Linked DNA regions of Schizosaccharomyces pombe. The gene in region 2 interacts genetically with the main gene of each other region. Each region holds a gene or a part of one and is shown on either strand. Other genes may lie near its edges.

What was found. Genes that interact genetically often act in the same process or in processes that back each other up.
Region 1: mutations in SPOM_SPCC1020.07 (region 2) and SPOM_SPBC1348.12 together harm fitness less than expected from each alone (positive genetic interaction), as found in Schizosaccharomyces pombe (one large-scale study listed by BioGRID).
Region 3: mutations in SPOM_SPCC1020.07 (region 2) and akr7 together harm fitness more than expected from each alone (negative genetic interaction), as found in Schizosaccharomyces pombe (one large-scale study listed by BioGRID).

What each region holds. Positions count from the first base shown.
Region 1 is NC_003423.3:31,189-38,808, forward strand, and holds SPOM_SPBC1348.12 (DNA-binding transcription factor), read left to right. Parts: upstream 1-3,923; coding exon 3,924-3,983; intron 3,984-4,022; coding exon 4,023-4,424; exon of another isoform or gene 4,425-4,459; intron 4,460-4,559; coding exon 4,560-4,695; intron 4,696-4,739; coding exon 4,740-4,937; intron 4,938-5,045; coding exon 5,046-5,401; downstream 5,402-7,620. Other genes in the region: hexose transporter Ght7, read right to left, coding at 7,399-7,620.
Region 2 is NC_003421.2:769,775-777,618, forward strand, and holds SPOM_SPCC1020.07 (pseudouridine-5'-phosphatase), read right to left. Parts: upstream 2,190-7,844; 5' UTR 1,952-2,189; coding exon 1,919-1,951; exon of another isoform or gene 1,748-1,918; coding exon 1,705-1,747; exon of another isoform or gene 1,640-1,704; coding exon 1,577-1,639; intron 1,520-1,576; coding exon 948-1,519; 3' UTR 501-947; downstream 1-500. Other genes in the region: wybutosine biosynthesis protein Tyw1, read right to left, coding at 1-278; tal1 (transaldolase), read left to right, coding at 3,724-4,692; dcr2 (phosphoprotein phosphatase), read right to left, coding at 5,267-6,796.
Region 3 is NC_003421.2:1,382,616-1,390,180, reverse strand, and holds akr7 (pyridoxal reductase), read right to left. Parts: upstream 3,577-7,565; 5' UTR 3,380-3,576; coding exon 2,378-3,379; 3' UTR 2,220-2,377; downstream 1-2,219. Other genes in the region: RSC complex subunit Rsc7, read right to left, coding at 211-1,383; chaperone EMC4, read left to right, coding at 5,568-6,149; splicing factor Spf30, read left to right, coding at 6,756-7,565.

The DNA.
Region 1 (7,620 bases), on a different chromosome or scaffold from region 2:
ATGAAGAGTACACTAATGGTGAAAATTTTGAGCAATGTAGAACGAAGAGAGAGGGCTGCCTTTGGTTGATAGTAAAAGAAAAAAAGTAAAGCTGTAAAAGTCAGGATTGACAATGACAAATTGATTTTGATCATTACAGATACGTAAAAAACAAAAGAAGCTTTAAATTCTTGAAAAAGTAACAATAGTTAAAAGGAATGATTAAAGATATAACAACGAAGAAAACTAAAAAAGCCTACGAATTAAACATAAAGGGAAAAAGGCTGTATGCTAAGTCGTTGATTGAACTGATTATTTTTATGTATTTTACCCAATTTTAATAACTACAAAAAAATTGAAGCATTGGAGAAAAAGTTATGAAAAATAAAATTGACTAATATAATAAAGTCAAAAAAATAAAAAAATTAAGATTAAGGTTAACTGATTAAATTTTTTTTTTTTTTTTTTTTTAAAGATTATCCCAAGCTTTAATTATAAAACCTTCTTTTATTAAAATAATTAATGAAATTATTCACTTAGATTATCTTTTTTTAGCAATATTTCTATTTTTTTTTTACCAATAACTTTGCATTTAGTATACAAATTCATATTGCTAAGCCTTTTGAAAAATTGGTTTATTTGTCTCTCTTCTCTTTTTAACTTAAATAAAAATAGTTTTTTCTCAATTTCGGTTTCCTTCTTTCATATTAGGTTTGTTGCTTTAACCTTTTGGCTTTAACAATCTTTCAAGTAAGTTTCATTGTAATTCTCAGGAGTGCGATATTTGAATTGAAATTCTCATTCTTCATTCCCAAATTAGCTTCGTTTACAAATATTCTACATTATTAGAAGTCTAAAAATTGCTATTTTGTTGTTACCTAATAGAATATATATTTATTTATTCTTCTGCTGTTCCATACCTGCCTTTCTAAAAAGTAAAAAACGAACAAAACGAGATACCAAGCTAAAAGTAACATATCGGTCTTGTGACTACGAGTGAGCTTTCTGTGTTTTTCAAAAAACATATTGATCTAAATGAAACTTTTTTTCTTTCGTTGCAACATGACTGTATTTTCTCCTTAAGTAGTTGAGCTCATTGGAAATGGTGAATTTAAATGATGGTCTAAACGTTTCGATGTTTAAGATAACTTCTATGTCCAATTATAAATATTTGATATACTAATTTTATACACAGTGAGGTAAAATCAAACAGAATTGTGTATCCAAACGCGTTTGTTAATGTTGATTGTATCGCTCTTCCATATCCTTTGGTTAAGCGATGCACTTGGATTTTCAGCTGAGCATTATTGCACTACTATTTCGTGATCTATAAAGTATTATTACTGTCATTTGTATTCTATAAAACTTGTTAATTTACGGAATAATTGTCAAATTATTGTCATTCAATACGATGGTATTTACCGTGCTAAGCTGAATGTGATAAAGGGTAGTCTTTATAAAAAAGAATTCATAGTTCACTGGAAGATTTGAACCAGTGACATTTACATAAAAATCAAAAAAAGTTTAAGAAATGCATATCAACCCATGAAGTAATAAACAATTTCGGAGTTTGAGAATGAGGATTGGAAGAAACTTTTAAAATATACCACGAAAATTTTACAATCGCGAATTTCTTGCGTTTTTTTTATAAGAGACTTAGTAGTATCTTCTAGATACAAAAGTATAAATCGAGCGTTACAGTAAACTCAGGACAAGAAAAACTTGACTTATATTGATTACTATCCTTAAATCTTTCGCAGAGGCGCTGCTGGTATACCTGTAGGTAGCTGGTATCAAATGGTCAGCCAAGTATCTTTTTTTTTTAATTATATCTAGATTATTTTTTAATTAATTAAAAAGTAAGTGCAATGATTAATAAGGAACTCCTGATAAATAACTTATTGTTTGTATGTTATGCGGTTATTGCGGATCAAATAAATTGGGAGCGTAGACTTTAATTACTTATTTCTTTCATATATATAGATATAATCTGCCATTTTTAGATTCATCAAGAACACAATAATCTTCAAGTATTTAGATTTTTGCATTCGCTGGATAAACAAATGGACTTGATTGCTCTTGCAACTGGAAGAAAATCCAACCATCATTATGCTAATTTAGATCGAAAATCTTCTAAAGAAAAAGTTTATCCATCATTTTCTCTGAATGAAAATAATCGAAAGATTACCGAAAAGCTATCGACTGACAACAAAAGCGATTTTTCACATGATTCAAAAGTAGATACGAGAATCCAAGTTCCATATTTGGTTACTTGGGGTGGTTTAAATGACCCTTTAAATCCTCGAAATTGGTCATACACTAGAAAATGGTGGGTCGTTATTCAGGTTTCCACTATCACGATAGTTGTAACCTTCGCTTCCAGTGTTTACTCCACTGGTACAGTTGAAATATCGGAAGATTTGGATCTTCTATTTTAGTTACCACTCTGCGAACGTGCACATTCTTGGTCGGTTTCGGTGTAGGCTCTATTCCATTTGCTCCACTAAGCAGTATATACGGAAGACTTATTGTATACATTGGAACTCTGCTTGTCTTCATTATTTTTCAAATCGGTAGTGGTTGCGCTAGCAATGTTTGGTCATTAGTCATATTCAGGTTTCTTCAGGGTTTTTTTGGAAGTACGCCTCTAGCAAATTGCGGAGGAACAATTAGTGATATATTCACACCGATCCAACGTACTTATGTTCTTCCCGCACTATGCACCTTTCCATATTTAGGTCCCATAATTGGACCAATTATTGGCAATTTTATTTCGCAGAGCTATTTAGGATGGAGATGGACATTTTGGATCAACATGATTTGGGCTGCTACTATTCTTGTGGTTGTGTTCCTCGCATTTCCAGTACCTCACGAAGATACCATCCTTGACTATAAAGCAAAACACTTACGTAAAACAACCGGTAATTCTGCATGGTACACAGTTCACAAACGCGAACGTGATCCAAAAAATGCAATTGTTCAAGCTGCTACTCAGGCGGTTTCCCTGATTTTCACAGAACCTATTGTGGTGTGTTTTACATTATATTTAACTGTAATTTATGTTATCAGTTACATAAATTTTGAGGGATATCCTATCGTATATGCCAAATACGACTTCAATCAATGAGAACAAGGATTATCATTTATTGGTGTTGGGGTAGGACTGGCTGTTGCTGGCTCCTGTACCCCATTGGTTTACTGGCATTATTTAACAACTACTAAGAAAAGAAACGGTCTGACGTGTCCGGAAGACAGGCTTTATCCTTTATTTATTGCATGTTTTTTATTCCCCATTTCTATGTTTTGGTTCGCTTGGACTTGCTATCCCAATCGTATCCACTGGATAGTACGGATCATATCTAGTGCTTTTTTTGGGTTCTCTCTATTGGTTATATTTTATGTTTGTTATAATTACATTATTGATTCCTATCAGCATATGGCGCCAAGTGCATTGGCTGCATCGACCTTAATTCGGTATAGTGTGAGCGGTGGCATAACTTTAGTTGCACGCCCTATGTATTTAAATCTAGGCGACCACTGGGCTACAAACGTGCTTGGATTTATCTCGATAGCTATGATACCTATTCCTTTCATCTTTTTTTCGTTTTGGTAAAAAAATCCGTGCGTTTAGTAAAAACGCTTATAAATTTTAAAGACTTAGTTATTAGCTTGAATTTGAAATTTTGATTTGAGAAAAAGTTTGATATCAGTTTAAGAATGTTAACTATTGGAAACATATGTTTTCTTAAGCCATTTATTTGCAATCTAAATTAATAACAATAAGTAAAATGTCTACATTATTATTACTTAACCATTTTACTAAACATACATAAGAGCACATTTATTAAGTATTTGAAAAATACCCATCATTAAATACATTGTTACTTTCGTTAAAGTTTGGTTAGTCGTCATTACTAATATGAAGTAACTTCAACGACAACTACATGCATCTTAGTAAGGCTTCTTTTTTATTTGATTGTAGCAGATTTATCCTAAATTTTCATGTGTAGGTAGGAATTCCTTGAAAAAATTTATATTAAAAGGAGCGATGTTTAAAAAATGGCGTTCGTACAAAAAAGGCCTGCGTAATATGTCGCTCTAAAAAGCAAAAATGTGATGGGCAACTCCCTTGCCTATATTGTAAAAAATATGAGTACCAATGTGCTTATGAGGGCCAAGCGACTTCTACCTGTAATTCCGAGGCATCCTTGTTCAATGATGCGAACTTTAAAATCGGAAGTGATTACAGGTCTAAAAGAATAAAGGTTGTTTCGGATACTAACAATAATAAAGAAGATGGTGACGGGAAGTTGAGTTTTACACAATGCAATCCAAGAATGGATATTCATCATGAAGCTGAGAACTTTACAGCTATGGTTCCTTACTATGAACCCAAGAAATTTCGATTTTTTTATGAAAATAGCGCCATAGTATTTCCTCGGATAGTAGGAGAAGGACCAAAAATGAACTACCTTTCTCGTTTGCATTCATTTGCATGAAATGCGGGAATACGCAGTGAAAAAAAAAACCATGTGTTTCCAAAGTTGACGGAACTAATAACTAAAGAAAAATACTTAAAGTACGTATTTATATATTTTGAAGAAGTTCATCCCATATTTAGCATGTTTGATCAAAAAGCCATGGAGAAAAAGATCCAATTCTTATGGGACAACAAATCAACTGATAGCTGCTCTGAGTACGTCGTGATTTCAGTAAGTATACTAGGATTTTTTTTTCGTCCGATTCGGACAAGTCTTTAGAGGGTAAACTAGTAGAGCATATAACGCAAGTTTTGGAGAGTTCACTGTCGACCACAATTTTATCATCGATTCAACTTACAGTTTGTTGGGTTTTAAGAACAATTTACTTACATGCTACTACTCGTCCTCACCTCTCCTGGATTGCTTCTTCTGTCTCCATGCACTATGCAGAAATTGTAGGACTTCATCAGGAGATAAGTAAAATACGGGTAGAGAATGACAAGGATGGTGAAGAAAACAACGATTAGATTTTTTTGTCAAGAGAAAAAAATTTTTGGATTGCTAGATCCTTAAATTGGATTTTAGCAGCTGAATACGGAACGAGGGGAATAGAGTTAACGAACATAACAACCCAAATGGTTGAAGAGGATGGACCTGCTTATCAGCTTGTATTGTTATTTAAAATCATAATGGAGTACCAGATAATATCAGAAGATTCAAGATTTGTATATTTACAAGCATTCCAAAGACTGGACCAGCTTTGTGACATTCATTCACCAGCACTTGTATTGCTAAAAGCAACGGTATGTTTTCACTTGTACCGAAACTTATTTCTTGCAAGAATTAAACCTTTTTGTGTAATTGTATCCATCCTTTTCTCTGTTATCGACAGAGCTCTTGAAAGCTGCAAGCAGTTAGTTTCTCAAAGGAAAGCGTGGTAGGGGATCGTGGATGTTCCCTTTCATGCTATTTGCGTATTGCTATCCATAGATACTATCGAATCTATGAGTATTTAGGAAAATCTTTAAGAGTATTACAGGAAATTGCCGATACTTTTCATAGTCATATGACTCAAGAGGCCCTTCTCACTGCTTGTGGTTTGTGTGAAGGCATGAGGAATAAAAAACTTAAAGAAATAAATATACTCGAAACTGAATATTTAAGTGATGTGAAGGTTTTAAGAGATAATGAATTTGAAGATCATAATTACATAAATTTCAGTTTTAACGATATATTCCTTGATATGTTTGATTTTGGTATTGTACGTAAAATTAAAGATAAAAATGCTATTCTTTTTATAATAGCTAACTCTAAAGGAATTGAAAGAGTAATAACTTTAATTAATAATAAATTTAGAACTACTAGTAAATATAATCAGATTATTAATAATATATTTGCTCAACCTAGATTTAAAGAATTTAGTAAAACTATTAATTTAAGTTTAAACACATTCCAACTGAGTGTTTTAAATAACCATTGGCTAGCTGGATTTTCAGATGCTGATGCTAGTTTTCAGATTAAAATTTTAAATAGGGACTAAAAAATAGAAGTTCGATTGAACTATCAAATAGATCAAAAAAAAGAGTATCTTTTAAGTTTAATTAAAGATAATTTAAATAAAATACAGCTAATTTTGGAAAGTGGAAAATAACAATAATATTAAAAATATGCATATCCTTTACAAGTCTATTTGTTATTGATTTCTTTTCACCAAGCGAGGTCCCTTACTAAAGTTTCTTTATGGCAGTACAACTCCCGAAGTTTGCTACTGTTTTTCTTTTAAAAAAAACCTAAGATGACATACAATTTGATAAACCTGTCCATACAAAACTTCGGACTACGATAAATTATCTTTCTCCACATTTGTCAAAGACTCATTCTCAAAATATCAATTATACCAAGAGTTTTATAATTAACAATATACTTAGTTTAGTTTTTTAAAAAATGTTTCTTAGACAATTTTTATATGTCCGACCTGCATTTTATATAGGGTTTTTTCCGAATTGTTGCTTCCGATAAAGGATCTAGTTGAATTTAGTCATTTTGCTTTATGGCTCAATAACTTTAATTGTTACTTCCATATTTGAGTAAGGAGGAAACCAATTTTAAATTCGATTCAGAATGTGTTATATCAATGCTTTATTACAAAATTGTTTCTACAGAATTAGACGACACAAAGTGGATACTTATTTTATAATTTGGTAAAGACATATATGTTTTTTGGGCTCTATTAAATATTAAGCATAAATTTCCGTTTAATGTTCATTAAGACGAATTAAAAAAGTGCCAAAATAAAAACCATTCCTAATGTTATTACTACATGAGTACTTAAAATATTTATTTTTTGTTTATTTACTTTTTTTTTATTTTAATAAAGTAATTGACTTGCCTGTTATCGTACAAAATAAATCAGCAATAAATCGAATTTACCTTGAGCAATTTCGTAAAAATAGATGATGAATAAGAAAGCAAATAGTTACTTTTTGCTTCTTTACTTCATATATTATCATACAAAAAATAAAAATTAAAATCGTTATGTATCAGAATATTACATAAACCAGAATTTGCATAGAAGCCAGAAAAATATGTGTCGTTTTAAAATAAAAAAATTAATTTTCGCACTCGCACTTATAATCGTATTCATAAATATATAGATTTAAGTTATACTAAATATCCGGTTGAAAATCCTATTCCTGCAGGTATACGGCTACACGGAGAACAGAAAAGCATTTAACAGTATTTCAGTCACCAGGGCATGCTTTATACTACTATTTAAACTTAAACTGTTTATAACATTTTTTTTATAAAACAAAAGTTTTCATGGTTACTTTATGCACTAAGTAATTTTTCGGTATTAATGCAAAATATTTAGTTAGAACTTCAATATAATCAGTAGATTTATTTTATTGAGTTATTATTTTTAAATACGATATATGCATTAAAGACGAGGCTCCCGTTTATCAGGACGTATATATGTTGCTGAAGCTTGATTTTGTTCAGGTCTAGAATCATCCGGGGTTGATGTTTGGAATGACCCACTGTCTCCTTGATTATCGGTATTTTCAATAAGTTCGGTTGTTTCTCCATTGAGTCCGATGTGAGACTTCAAAGTTGCGTTGTTTTGCTCACGACCGAACTCTCTGTAACCCTCTGGATGAGG
Region 2 (7,844 bases):
ACACAAAGAGGAGAGTTTTTCCAATCAATAGTATCATTTTGTTTACGAATGGAAGAGGATGGCGAACCGATCTTTCCCCTTTTGCCAACCCGCTTAAACCTTTTAACTTCTCTCTGTTTCTTTACCTCATCTTTTTTCTCGCTTGATTTATCTGAATTGGACAATTGGGTTTTTCGTCGAATCAGAAAATGGATCAGTACAGGCAGCAGCAAGACTATGTACAATACAGCCCGGTATTCTTCCCAATGCTCCCCGATGTACCCCAAAGAATACCCCATGGCAATGATTTACCACTGGAATTTAGCAAAGAAATAGTATCCTTGGTGGTTGGAAAAAGGATTCTTTGAGGTGTGGCATATGGAAAAGACACAGGCAAATTTCACCAATAAGCGCCAACAGAACTAAGTCCAGCTAGAGAGTACTAAAATGAAGGATGAACTTTTAAATTAATTTAAAATTTTTACTTATTTGTTTATTTTATGATTAATTTTACCTTATTAATATATAAGTGCTTTCATCTAAATGATGGAGTGCTGGCCAAAAAGGTACTTTTTGTAAAAGTCAACATTCTTGAAAATCAAACTATAAGAAAAGCAATATCTCTTAAAATACCTCATGTGTAGTAACATTTAGAAAAATTGCTAGATAGCTAGTGTTAGACGTAGTGAAAATGATACTTGGAGATGAGACACTTTCAAACGATTGAAGAAAGAATCAAGGATGAGGGCTTTGTAATGATTGTTATTTGTGAAAAGTATTCAAAAAAGATTTGGAATGTTTGATGAGAGTTCATTTTTAAAGATTTTACGACATGGGAATATATCAGTAAAACGAAGAATAAAAAGTAAATAATGCAGCTAGCATGCTGCGTCTTAAATAAAGAGCAAAAAAAAAGATATAAAGCAAAAGCGATAAATGAAGAAAGTAAGAGAAAGAAACCAATTCAACTATACCTTTGTAACATCGAAATTCTCCAAGCTTAGCACCTTTGTTATATGCTTGTCCGCAGCTTGTTCTGGAGAAAGAGAAAAAAAGGGAAGAATATTGACATCAGGAACCCACACAACTTTCATGCCTGCCGCCCGGCCTGATTGAACTCCTGTAATGGAATCTTCAAAAACCAAGCAGTTCTCTGGCAGGATTTCTGCCTGGCCTTGAGCCTTGCGCTTGTCGTTGATCATCTTCAAAGCGATGAACCAAATATCTGGGTGAGGTTTGCCTCTACCGACGGGTAATCGAGGGTCATCTCCAGTGATAATGTTTCCATCAAAATGATCAAACAAATGACTCAAATGAGCGGACTTCTTTTCAAAGTTGTGTGTGTCACTGGAAGTGGCTAGTGCTATAGGAATGTTTAGTGATTTCAACTTACTTAACAAATTCATAACGCCAGGTAAAGGCTTTGTATGCCTCCATAGTTCAGCTTGAGTTTCACGTTGTAATGCTATGTATTCTTCGCAGGTCAAATCAATACCCGACCAATCCAAAAAGATTCTGCTGGCCTCCTTTGAAGTTCGGCCTAAAGCATGAATGATTAGAAGGTTGAAAAAAACAACAACAGCTCAAAGCCACTTACCCATCATCTTAGCCTTGACTTCCATGGAGAAGGGGCCTTTGTTATAGCGCTTTAAAATGATATCTAGACGCACCGTTAGCCTAACCAATACCTTTGAACAGAAAGGGAAAAGGAAGAGTAAAACTTACTAGTGCTTTTTGTGTAGATTGACTCTGTATCGACCAACAAGCCCTGTATTCGTTAGATAGAAGGACACTTTATCGCTTTTCAAGTAGTATGCTTTAAGGAATCATCAGGCTAAGCACTTTTAAGTAGAATGAAAAACAAATAAACGATAATAAATATTGTATTTGTTGATCATGGACGCCGTAAATGATCCATATTATTTTACTATGTACGTACGTCCATATCGAAAAGACACGCCTCAGGAATCATCTTTAAAGTAAAGTAAGGGTTTTAATAAAAAGAATGTCTTTGTTTTTCTACGATGAAGAAAGATATTGTTGAAAGGATATATACTATTCGTAACAGAATGAAACCAATTTCGATCAGTATACGGACGAAAGCAGCAATGGGAATGAGATGAATATACGATAACTTATCAAATAATTCAAGTTTAGACAATCACAGTCGTCCTTAATAAATTCTGCTAGAAGTAGTCAAACGTGGAGTTGACAAGTTGCAAGACGAGCCATTGTTTAGGCAAAGGTGAGAAATAGAATATTTGTGGCATTAGGAAAGCTTTTGGACTTGCAAATAGAATTGCTTGAAAATAATGAGTGTAAAGAGAGGTAAAGTTGGCGAATTTGTTGAGTCAGGGATTGAACTTGATTCATCTAAATGATAATGTTATGGTAAGATAAAAAGAAACTAGAAAAAAATAGAAGAAAGTTTATAAAGTGCAATGACATTGAATTTACTCGACTCTCTTCCTATTACACGACAAGCTCAGTTTATGGATGTTTATTTGTCTACAAACAATTCATTCACGTGTGACTTTGAACTTGACCGGAAACATGTTACAGAAGGTGGTTTGAAAGTAAAATTGATACGGGAATGGGTGTCTTATTGAAAAACTACAAAGCTGTACTCGATGACTATGGAATGTCATCAGGTGGATATACAGATAGCTCTTTTTAAATGTCGAGTGAGATATCGGTGGTTTATTTTGAAGAAAATTACTTAAAAAGTGATTAAAGTAATAATAAGTAATGAAAGTCAAATAAAAGGCCTTACGATTATCTGCTCGTCAACTATGGGTATACAGGTGTATCTCACACTATGCTTGAAGATTTCGCTGACGATTATATAGACAATGTCCATAAACAGGTTAAAACCAAGCCTTTTTAATTACGAACTTGACCATTTCTGAAGACTGTAGATACCTTAGAAGCTAATCTCATTTGTATTACTGTAAGAGGCAATTCGAATCGACAAGAGTGTAGGTAGAAGAGTATACCTATCCAAAGAGTATCAGATGCTTTTACCAATTTAAGAGTTTTCCATGGATATGTATTCAATTTTAGGTCCAACTATTTAACACTTGTGCGAACATCGATCATGTCCGATGCAGCAACTTGCTGCTGTCATGTCGCTCAAACCAAACAAAAGAAATGTGCCAATTAACAAAATATTTCCAATACTATACTTGTAACGTTCTAGCATTAATACATACCTTAAGGCACTACTTGCAATCAGCCCAGTCATGTCAATCTCTTCAATATCTTGTTCGGGATCCCGCTTGCGACCAGCGCATTATTTTTCTTAGATTACTGACATTATATATTTCAATTTGGAACAAAAAAACAATCTGATTTCGACCATTTTTTAAAATTTTTCTTTTTCATAAATTTTTTCGACTTTTCCTATACTTTCGATGGTGAAGAATGCATTGAGCACAGTCTGCAGCTTCCATTTTTTTCTTCTGAAATTTTATAGTAAAATCGAAAGTTTTTCATCTGCTTAAGCAATCAATTAAATCTAGACAAACATTGCTAAGTTCTCCGCAAATTCAAAGAAACTTTGGCTGACGTACCTAAAATGCTTAAGTGGAAGTTTCCACGCTACACACAACTTAACCAGAACCTATATCCTTAGGAACACCAAGAAACTCAGAAAAGGTATGTTTGTAGTGTTTTTTAGGAAAAACGAAGTTATTTGTCTGGAAAAAGTATTTACTAACGAGTTTTTGAGGTAGTTTTATCAAAATGTCTTCATTGGAACAATTAAAGGCCACTGGCACTGTTGTCGTCTCCGATACTGGAGATTTTGAATCGATCGCCAAATACAAACCCCAAGATGCCACCACAAACCCTTCTCTCATCTTGGCCGCTTCTAAGAAGCCCCAATATGCTGCTCTCGTCGACGCTGCTGTTGACTATGCCAAGGCAAAGGGTGGTTCCATCAACTCTCAAATTGAGATTGCTTTTGATCGTCTTTTGATCGAATTCGGTACCAAGATCCTCGCTATCGTCCCTGGCCGTGTCTCCACCGAAGTTGATGCTCGTTACTCTTTTGACACCCAAACTACTATCGAGAAGGCTCGTCACCTCATCAAGTTGTACGAAGCCGAGGGCATTGGTCGTGAGCGTGTTCTCATCAAGATTGCCTCCACCTATGAGGGTATCCAAGCTGCTAAGCAACTCGAGGAAGAGGGCATCCACTGCAACTTGACTCTCTTGTTCTCTTTTGTCCAAGCTGTTGCTTGCGCCGAGGCTAACGTTACCTTGATTTCTCCTTTCGTCGGTCGTATTCTCGATTTCTACAAGGCTAAGAATAACCGTGACTATACCGCTCAAGAAGACCCCGGTGTCGTCAGTGTCTCTAACATCTTCAACTACTACAAAAAATTCGGTTACAAGACCATTGTCATGGGTGCTTCTTTCCGTAACGTCGGTGAGATCAAGGAACTCGCTGGTGTTGACTTTTTGACCATCTCCCCCGCCCTTCTTGAGCAGCTCAACAACAGCACCGACGCTGTCCCCAAGAAGCTTGATGCCTCCAAGGCTTCCAGCCTCAATTTGGAGAAGGTTTCCTACCTTACTGATGAGCCCAAGTTCCGTTTCGACTTTAACAACGACGAAATGGCTGTAGTCAAGTTGTCCACTGGTATCGCTGCCTTTGCCAAGGATGCTGATACTCTTCGTACCATCTTGAAGGCTAAGCTTGAGGCCTAAATATTTTAGCTGCAACCAGTTAGGTATACCGATTTCTTTCATTTTGTTAGGAGTTTTTTAGCTTACTTTTTTTTACCCTTTTTACTGCTAGCATTCCGTATGTTGAGGTTTCCAGATTATGATTTTAAGGATGTTATGGCAGTCTTTTTTAACAAAACACAAAAAATAAATCGTACTTGCGAGCTATAAGTGTGACTAAGCCTTTAGGTTTGACGATTGTTATATAAATGAATATATATATTTTGTATATATGTATTGCGTATGTGGATGGACATATTTACTTGTATTTTGGAATAAAATATATGATGGATCTCAACTGCAAATGGTAGAATGTGGAATTAATTATTAGCAAACACATTTCAAAACTATTTAAGTATGTAATTGGAAGAGCGTAAAAATTTCGTTAATATTAATTAGTATATTACTTCCGTAACATAAGAAATTCACTTTGAAAAGAAGGATCCCATAAAATTGGGATGAAGATTGAATAGAAAATAAAAATATCGTAAAGATAGAAGAAAAAGAAAATTATATCCTGCTGTGAAATAAGTTATATAATGAGAGGAGTGATTGTTTAAACTAAAATAGTTTGTACGTCCAGCATCAACTTACGGTCTTCAGGAGGCCATTCCAAGCGTTTCCAAGTACGAACTGCGCGCTCAACCGGGTCCAACTCAAAAACCCTTGCACGACGAACGTAGCCACCATGTCCTCCATATCCGCCAAACCCAGCACCTCCAGCAAAGCAAAAGTATGTGTTATAATCTGGATGGATTCCACAGAAATCATTTACATGGTCATGTCCTGCAATAGCAAGAGGAATACGTAAACTTTTCAAAGCTTTCGCAGTATTTGGATCACAAATGGAATAAGAACAGGGCTCTCGAAATGCACCAACAAGGTCTTCAGTCTCGCAAAACTCCTTCAGAGGGATATGCAATACAGCCATTTGAATGGGCTCGTACTTGAAATCCGCAACTTTACTAGAAAGCCACTCCAGTTGATCCTCGGTAATAGCATCGTATCCAGGGCATAATCTTCGATTTGAAGTATCTCCCTTTGTATCTAAAACGTAAATGGCAAACTTTCGGGGACTATGTAAAACAAAGTTACCAACACCAGAGACATTTCCAATCAAACCCATACTACCAGGAATCTGACTCAAAATTTTGGCAAGCTCTTCCCTCGATAAATCTCCCAAATCATCGTGATTTCCGAAATTTACAGCAAATGGGACGTTGTAATCAACAAAAGGGGACACCGCTTTCATCAAAGAGCTTCTAGCGTCGCGTGACGTGTCGCCGTTAATTAAGTCCCCAGTCAAAAGGACAAAGTCCGGTTCCTCTAACTGTAATAATTCATTCACGAAAGCAGTAGTTTTTGCATCGGCCATACAATCCTCTGCAGTCTCATACGGATAAGGATCGCGACACGGTCTGTCAGAATTTGAATAGTGCAAATCAGAAAGCTGAAGAATCTTAATTGTCTTTTTTTCTTCGTCATCATAAGTAAGGGTTACGGATGAAAGCTCCTTTCTCTTAAGCGCTTCAATAGATGGCGTCGGAGGAGTTTCACAAGGTCTTTGCGTCAATAGGACCGGCTGTCCTAAATAAATAAAGTCATTTAGAACAGCAGACCAACCCTCTCGTAATTCAACAACATCCTCACCCAACAATGTATTAAATTCGCAAATATCACCATCCGTTCCATAACGAATTTGAATACCGTGCTTGTTACGCTTTTCCAGCTGTCGATCAACATATACCTGTTCAACTAAGACAGTCTCCCCAGGAATATACAGTGCTGGTCGTTTCACGTAAAGGTAGGCACGCTTCCAAGGAATTCGGGAACGGTACAGATTCCGACTAGTACGGGCCCATTTCCAAAATTCCAAAACGGGACGACAAAAGGGAGAAAAGGAAAAGCACTCGACCAGCCTTATATCTTCGATTGGAGTGTTCAGTGAGAAGGGTCCCGACTTTGAGTCAGTGATTTCAATGGTGTTGAGCGAATAATCAACAGTCAATAATGCTATGAAAGCCGCAACTATGAAGATTGCCCTTTTACGAAGGAAATGAATAATGTTTCTCTTTGGTAGCATCATTTTGCTTAGTCTTTGAACACGAGATTAGTAATTGTAGGAATGTATTTTTAACCGAAAAACGTCCCGCGAGAACTTTTTCTTTTACGGATCAAATATTTGACAAAGAAAAGCAATATTTATATAACAAATGTGCTTCAAATTAAAAGTTTTTATGAAAAACCTGTAGAATTGACTGAATTCATGAAAGCAAAAGGATTATGTGGATATTACGGTAATGTTTACATGGTAGAAGAAGGCTTTTCAAATTAAGATTCGAATGCGGAGCACAAGAACGAATCCGTTATCTATGCCTAGCGTAGTGCAGAATACTCACTTAAGAATCGCTTTCAAGAAACTTGCTTATCATAATACTTGAAGTTGGAAAGAGCTCGGTATGTGAAGAGATGAGCTTAACGTAGTTTAGCAGGTTCTCAGTTATTCTGAATGTCTATTAAAATTCAGCATTATAGCGACTTTTCTTGTGAGTGAAAACAAACGTTAAAGCTAGATGGCATTTCGGAAGAAGAAAATTGCATGGATAAGCTCTCAGATACTCATTGACATTAATATTTTCATCTCACTTATTTTTTAATTTCTAGCGGTGAGTGTTTATATGAGAGGTACGGCAGCTCTCAAAATCTTAACAACCATTTTGGATTATATTTTAAGCTCTAACTTTTTGTTAAGTATTATTTTCTGAGAAATTCTGCTTCATACTGTAGTGGTACGAGAAAACTCGCAAATGAAAACGAATATTTCAAGGTACTATAAATCTCGCTTAATTCAAGCTTAATTTGGCCGACATTTCACATGTTGTGGCCCATGAAACATGTGTCAATAGTTGTATAACTGTGTAAGGGTACTATTGCGTTAGTTTCTTACCTGATCTGAAAAGTTTTAAGCTGCCAGCAAGTCGATATATATAGAGGGTTTTGCGGATCTTGTTTTTTTCCGGCATAATTATTGTGCCGAACCACTAAGCCGAACCAAAGAGTAATTATCATAACGCAAACTCTTTCAAAATAAAGAACCCATTTATTCTTCAACTCAAAGTTCAAGCAGAATACCT
Region 3 (7,565 bases), 610 kb from region 2:
TTTTTTTCCGCTTTACTAAGCAAAAACAAAGTACTAAAGTAATTGATTAACAAGTTTTGGATTTCGTTAACGCATGTTTTCTCCGTAAATAACTCGAGTAAGAAGATAATTCGGGCTTACGTCGTACGTGTGATAAATGACTGTATACAATCTGAAAATTAATATTATAAAACATCCAAAACAAAATAGGATTAAAAGAAAACGAGCACTCTAGTACATGCTATTCAAACGAATACTACGAATCTCTTGTTCTTGACGTTTGCGAATAGCCTCTTGAACGTGGAGTGGACAACTCGCATAAACGGAGGGAGGGATATTTGCAATAGACACCTGTGGAGCCACATCCGAGTTAAGAGCAACGAGAATATCCAATTTAGGTGCAGGACATTCCGTACCAGTCTTTGCCTGAATCCAATGGGTTTTTGTAGGTTGGGTATTAAGGGGAACATGCAACAAGTTAGTATGTGGTTCAAAATAACCGATATCCTGTTTTTGAACAAGGTATTTTGTAATATCATTATTGTAAGCTGCAGTTGCTTTAGCATGTTGAAAAAGCCATGTGGCATCTTTTGGAGGTTCCTTTTTTCTTTTTCGAGCAGCTGCAGGCAGCTGAGCTTCTAGTGAAGGCTGCGGGTGATATACTGCACTAGCTCCATGCCAAGCGACGTATTGATTTCGATTGTATGGCATACCGGGAGGAGGCAATTTATCGTCTGGATCAGCTAATTCTCCTTCGACGAAACCACGAGCGCGGAATTCTCCTTCCCAGTAATCGTCTACAATTCGTCGACCACCAACGATGATTCTAGCACCAAATTCACGAAAGATAGAACGAGCAGCAACAATACCTACCGCACGGCCTTTGTAAGAATGAGGAATAATATTTCGTTCAATAAGGTCCCATTTCTCAGAATCATCAACAATAATTTTATGCAGTGAACGATGCTTCAAAAATAATAAATACGAATCTCTATAGCCCATTGCTCTCGCTGGTTCGGTGGAAAGCATATACAATCGATTACCACGACCTAAGCACGTGAACGTTCGACATCTATACTCTCGACCGCCATTCAAATACCCCAATTCATTCACTTTTTTCTCTCCTTCTGGATCTACTACACCAAAGTTTAGCTCATCATCTTCCAAAGTAGCCCGATGTGAGTACAAATCCTTCGGTACTACTGTTGAGCTAGAAGACGGCGCTGAAACTCTAGGGCGAGTATTACGATTTCTACGACGCGTACGCCCAGAGTATTCTTCATCATCATCATCACTACTTCCATATGCGGCGTAACTACCCTTAGGAGGGCGTCCTCTTCGCTTCTTCGAGCTTACCGTGTGATTTGTAGGAGTGGAAGCATCGGAGCCAGCCGTAGAATCCATACTTTAATTGCAAGGTGTTTATTCCATAAACAGTTCAATCTTATCGTACTGAATAGCACTGTGTTAAAAATTGCTTTTTTTGGTGGTGAGTTTGGTTATAGTTAGCACAACTACCACTAAACCCATCCTACTGTTAGTAACGCATACCTTGGTGCTACATGTTATACTGATACAAGCAGCCTACTATTTAGATAACTAAATATCAAAAGCATATTGGCGGAAACAATAAGAGTAAGAATGATGATCGTCTTCCTAGATGCAGGATTGAAAACACCTAAGAAATGAGTAACGATTGTCAGTCGTAGAAGATACTAGCAGTTAAATAAAATACTTTCTACTACACCGCTTTTTGAAGCACCATAATACGTTGGGTTTTCATTGTTGTATTGAATTCAAAAATGAATCTCCAGCCTTGGCAACCAATTCAATGTAAATTCTTATCGCAATTAATAATCGAGCGTAACCTATCTGTAGATAATTCCTATTGATTAAAATAAGTTTCAAGAAAATGATTGAAGCATCGCGCTTATTGACATCTCATTTTGTGCATCGTCGACTAGACCGAAATAACCGTAGACCATCATAATACTTTAGGGTTGAATTTATATCAAGGCTACAATTTCGTTCCTAAATTACTTTATGCAGAGCAGTTGACATTCTAAAAAATTGTGTCACCAAAGTCATGATTATTCTGTGTAAAGGAAGTTTCTGATTATTCAATTATACCCAAAGCTTATTGAAAGTTTTCTTGTTCCTTACACTACCTTACTTTCTATTTTTTACACAGTGTAAGATAAATCACTGACAATAGAGAATAATATATAAAGGTGTGAATAAACTCAAAGACTACAGTCTTAGTTTTTAAAGAAATATTTTATTGTATTGATGCCGATAGGATGACACAGCATGTATACATCTAAATCTAGAGAGGAGTTAAGGTTAAATGCAAATATTAAATAAAAAACTCAAATCGGTGAAGTTGCTAAAATCATGCTCAGATGGAAAGGGTGGATTCAAGTTGTTTGTTGTAACGAAGTCCAAAGATTTGATGTTTATCCAAAACTTTTTTAGCCTCTTCAAGTTGTTCTGAACTCAAAGATTTCTTGAGTGCACTAAGATTGCTCTCAGCTCGTTGAACAGTTGTAGATCCAGGAATAGGAATGATCATGCCTTTTCCGTTTGCAATAATGAAGTTAAGAGCGAATTCAGGCATACTCATACCAAACTTTTGAGCCAATTGCTCGACTGCTTTAAGAAACGGGATATTTTTTTCAAAAACTTTTGGATTAAACTTGTCCATATTCCGTAAGAAGGGAAATGCTTTGATAAAGTCTTTAAGATCTTCAGCAGTCTTGACACGCCCAGTTAAAAGTCCATGACAGAAAGGCGCGTAAGCGATTATTGGGATAGAGAGCTGTGTACAAGTATCGAGAATGCCATTTTTCTCGATATCTCGTGAGAATAGAGAGTATTCGGTTTCGACTGCCGCAATAGGCACGATGGCAAGGGCGCGTTTGATGCTTTCAGCAGAAGCCTCGCTAAGACCGACACATGAAATTTCTCCTGAGTCTACAAAAGCCTTCAATGCTTTCATGGTAGTTTCAATTGGAACTTTGTGATCAACTCGGGCACATTGGAAGAGATCTAGCTTTTTCTTTCCACGTAAACGAGTAAGTGCATTTTTTACACTCTTAGTCACTGATTCAGGATCTCCATGGGGAGCGAGTGTTTTAAAATCTGTTCCTCCCTTAACTGATAAAAATACTTTATCGGCATTTTTTGGATACTTTTCAAAATAATCAGCCAACAAATCTAAATTGGCAGTAGGAGGATTGATGCCATAGAATTCTCCAGCATTCCAATAGTTCGAACCTTGGGACAAGGCGTAATTCATTAACTCAAAGGCTTGTTTAATGGGAGTTTGCTTGGGTCTCCAAGTTAAACCCATAAGGCCTAAGCCAATAGGTCCTACTTTAAAACCGTTCACAATAGGCATTGTGAAATGACAGTCAAATCGAGAAGAAAAATAATTTTAAGAAATTCTCTAATTCTCACGAAAAGTAAATGTCTACTATACTTTCAGTTCTGGTGCAATTGGTATACCAAATAGTTTCAAAATGGGGAAAACCAACTTGAAACAAAAATCAAGGAAAATATCGTCTGTTTATGAATCTTCAGTAATTTGTATTTCGTGAGCGTCAGTATAAATTTTGTTCTGATTTATAATTTGGAGGGATGTGACGCTAGTCTTACAACATTCAACCTTTCCCACACGTTTACTGTTGATTAGTGAAATTTCTTATTTCTCTGCTTTTTTAGATAACATTGATTTATATTTTTTTGAATTATGTTTTTACAGTGGCCCTTATCTATAATAAACCGTGATCAAGTTTCTGTACCCAGGTCTCTGAAAAAGGAAAGGTTTTTTACGGTTCATATCATGGGTGCTTGAGTTTTTTAGATCATTTTATAATTTGATCAAATGCAACAGGATACTGTTATTATTACTTTACTCAGAAAACTGCCCAACGGTCCTTATCCCATTCATTAGTGTTTCGTATGAATTAGGCCAGAATGAAGTTAGTTACAAAAGCGCGAATTGCTTTTATTTGAGGGGTCTTAGAAAACTGTGAACGGTATAAAAGAGCAGTAATGAAACAATGGAAACTAGAGTCGTATTTAATGTTGTTCAATTTCCAAAGGCTGCCTTTGAATTAGTCGTAGCAGCAATTCTAGCAAACAAGCTATTTGAAAATAAACAAAGTGTCTTTTATATTTCGTTGAATATATTTATGTGAGATTCGAGTGCAAGGAGAATCATTCCGTTTTAAAGAATGGAGGACTTGAAATGGTTTATAAATTGTAAAGAATTTCGTTGAAGGTTCACGTTGTTTTCGACTTTGCTCTATCATAGCAGAACGGCAAGTTTTTCCTCTTGATATTATATATTTTTAAAAATTAGACGCTCGGTCTTACAAGTTATTTCAGGCAATATTAATATACAAGGACAATTATCACTTCTTATGCGCAGTCATATATCATAAACAAGAAGTCTTTTGAACGGAAACTCGAAACAGGAGAAAAGCAAGCATTATCAGTATCGGTAAGGTAATCAATAACAATACATTACACGATTAAAAAGCGATTATTTCAAAATAAATTTCCAGTAATGTTCATTTTTTTTCTTTATGCTTCGAAAATGCACTTACTTTTTAGGCAGAGTATATTGAGTCGTACAACTCAATTTTGGGCTTGCGGCAATATGTTAAAACTCATATTCTAGAATAAGAAAAAAATTCTCACAAAGAGTGCCCTCCAAAACACGTCTTCCTAAATATTTACACCATGAGTACTTTCATACTGTATCCGATCTTTGTTTATGTAATAGCTTGGCTAACGAGATTATGCTTAAAAAGTTACAAAACGATATGTTCTTTATCCATTGAATATTTGAAAACATCTCAGTGTAAAAATATCAATCATTGAGCATGGTATTACCATTGTAAGATAAAGAGTCAGAACTTTTTCAAGATCAAGATCCTATATCCATAAAAGAAACCAAAACTAATTCCAGCTGTAATCAATAATGATCGTTGGGTTTGATAATTAACAAGAAATCATTAACATTAGATGTTTAAGCGTTGTACATATTCATATCCGGGCCATGAGACAGTAGAAAACCAAAGAAAGCACAAAAGCAAGTTAATCTTGAACTTTTATAACAGGATGGCTTTCTTTTTGCCATTGTTTGCGCTTGTATTTTTGGGATTCATTAGCTGATGGGCTTTTCACTATTACCACCAGTTTCGTTCCTTAGCATCTGCCACCTCCACTATATTGTTTATTTTGAAATATTATATTTTGAGGCGTGTTCTCAAATTATTTAGACCAGAAAATTTTTAACTTCAACCAAAGTTATTAATTTGCTTGAAAAGATTGTTCTACCACCCAACTTACATCAAATAACGAAAAACTGAGATTGACTTCTGGTGAAATATCTTGTTTCAGAAACATCAAATAAGGCTGGTCTTCGTATTTTAGAAACATAATTGAGGTGCTACCAATACTTTTTGACTGTAGGTTAGCTGCAATCAGGCTTTTCATTCATTGACTAAATTTATTCCTTGGTTTACGAGTCCAAAAATTTAGTCGCAACTTTAAATTTCTCTTTTTTCCCTTTCAAGATGCACATTAACGAAGAAACAGATTGGATCGATTTGGTCAAACCAGCGTTAGCAAAGAAGCCCAAAAAGATCGTTGACAATTCTGACAAGTTCCCTACGCCTCGAGGATTTCAACAGAAGTCGTTGGTTTCCAAAAACATTCATTCAGGAAATTCAGCTTCCTCAACTTCCATATTTGCTAAACGAGAGGAAGAATTACAAAAGGATCTCTTACTAAAGAAAGCATGGGAGCTTGCATATTCCCCCCTTAAACAAATTCCTATGAACGCTATTTTAGCATACATGTCTGGTAATTCACTACAAATTTTCAGTATTATGACGACTCTTATGTTGCTTGTAAATCCACTGAAAGCAATAACATCTACAGGATCTGCCTTCACCCCATTTAAAGGCACCCACCCAGGAACCCTTTGGCCCGCTATGGGTGCTTATATTTTATTCCAATTATTGCTTATGGGGATTGGAGTCTATAAGCTGCAAAGAATGGGATTATTGCCAACGACTACCAGCGATTGGCTTGCCTGGGAAGTCTCGAAGGTCTTTATGGATCGATCTTATGGTCCTAGTAAAACTGTTTTGTAAGAATTTCATTTACTCCAAAATTTTAAAGATATACGAGTGAAATCGTTAAATTATAGTACCTCCTAATGCCATTGCTTCTAGCTGACCTAGAAAATAATAAATTCATATAAAGAAGGAATGCTTGGAGTTCGGAAACATATTGTCTTCTGGATTAATAATTTATCCTCCATTATGCGGCATTAAACGTTCAATGCCTTTAATCGATATCATGCACGCCATAAACGAACCTCGAAAATACTTGATTATCCAGTTCTTTTTACCCATCCATAGTTTTCGAGAGCATGAAATTTTTGATAGAATACTTTCTTTTACGTCTTGATTATACTGAATATAGAAATATCAAATATTCTTCTTTGTTTTAACTATTATCAATAATGTCTTAGTATATTGAGTTAAAGAATTAGTGCTTTTAGTATAAATTTAATCTCACTCCAATATTGTTTTCTTCACCCTAGTGTAATAGCTGAGCTTAATTTTCAGGCACTTCACTGAGCGCCTGCTTCACATATTATCTACACTTACAACCGGTTTTGGCGATAAAGCCATTACACTTGGAAATTTTTACTGTTTGAAAAAAAAATCTATTAAATCTATAAAAGTAATCGTATGGAGAAGGAATTAGAGGAATACAAGAGCCAGCTTGCTCTCGTTCAAATTTCTCTTCAGAAGACTCCCCAAAACGAGGAATTACAGTTACTGGAAAATGATTTAAAGGAATTAATTAGCCTTACTGAAAACTTACTACAAGAAAGTGTAGAAAATGATAAAAATACGTTTCAAAATTCCCAAAATGGTGTTGCAGGTTTCAATACTTCAAAGCCAGTACATATCGACTTTACGCCTGGAAATTTAGTAATGGCCCGATGGGTTTCAGGAGATTATTTATTTTATCCTTCACGTATTACTGCTGTTTCAGGCTTCGGTGCAAACAAAAAGTACACAGTACAATTTCTTGACTATCCTGACATTGAAACTGTTTCCCTCAAACATATTAAGGCCATGCCTGAGGAAAAACGTCAGGAAATAGAAGGAAATAAAGAAATTCTCAAAAAATCTACCACTATACGTAGTACACCTGTTAGAGAGCCTACAAAAGCAATATCTGTAGCATCTATGTCTACAAGTCCTTCCAATTATGCGTCTCGTGCCTCTTCTCCAGATATGAAGAGTTCGGCGGCTGTAACGGCTAACGTATCTCCGATCCAAAATGTCGCTCAGCATGTTTCAACCCTACCAAAGATCTCTCCCATTCCTCCCTCTAACCCTCCACCTGTTCCTAGTGTTTCATACTCCCAAAAGCAGCAAAAACAACTAAAACCTAAAGCAGCACTTGAAGCATCACAAAATTCTTGGAAACAGTTTGCTGCTCGAGGTGTAAAAACTGGACGCGTTGGCAAACGAAAGAAGATTGGAGAA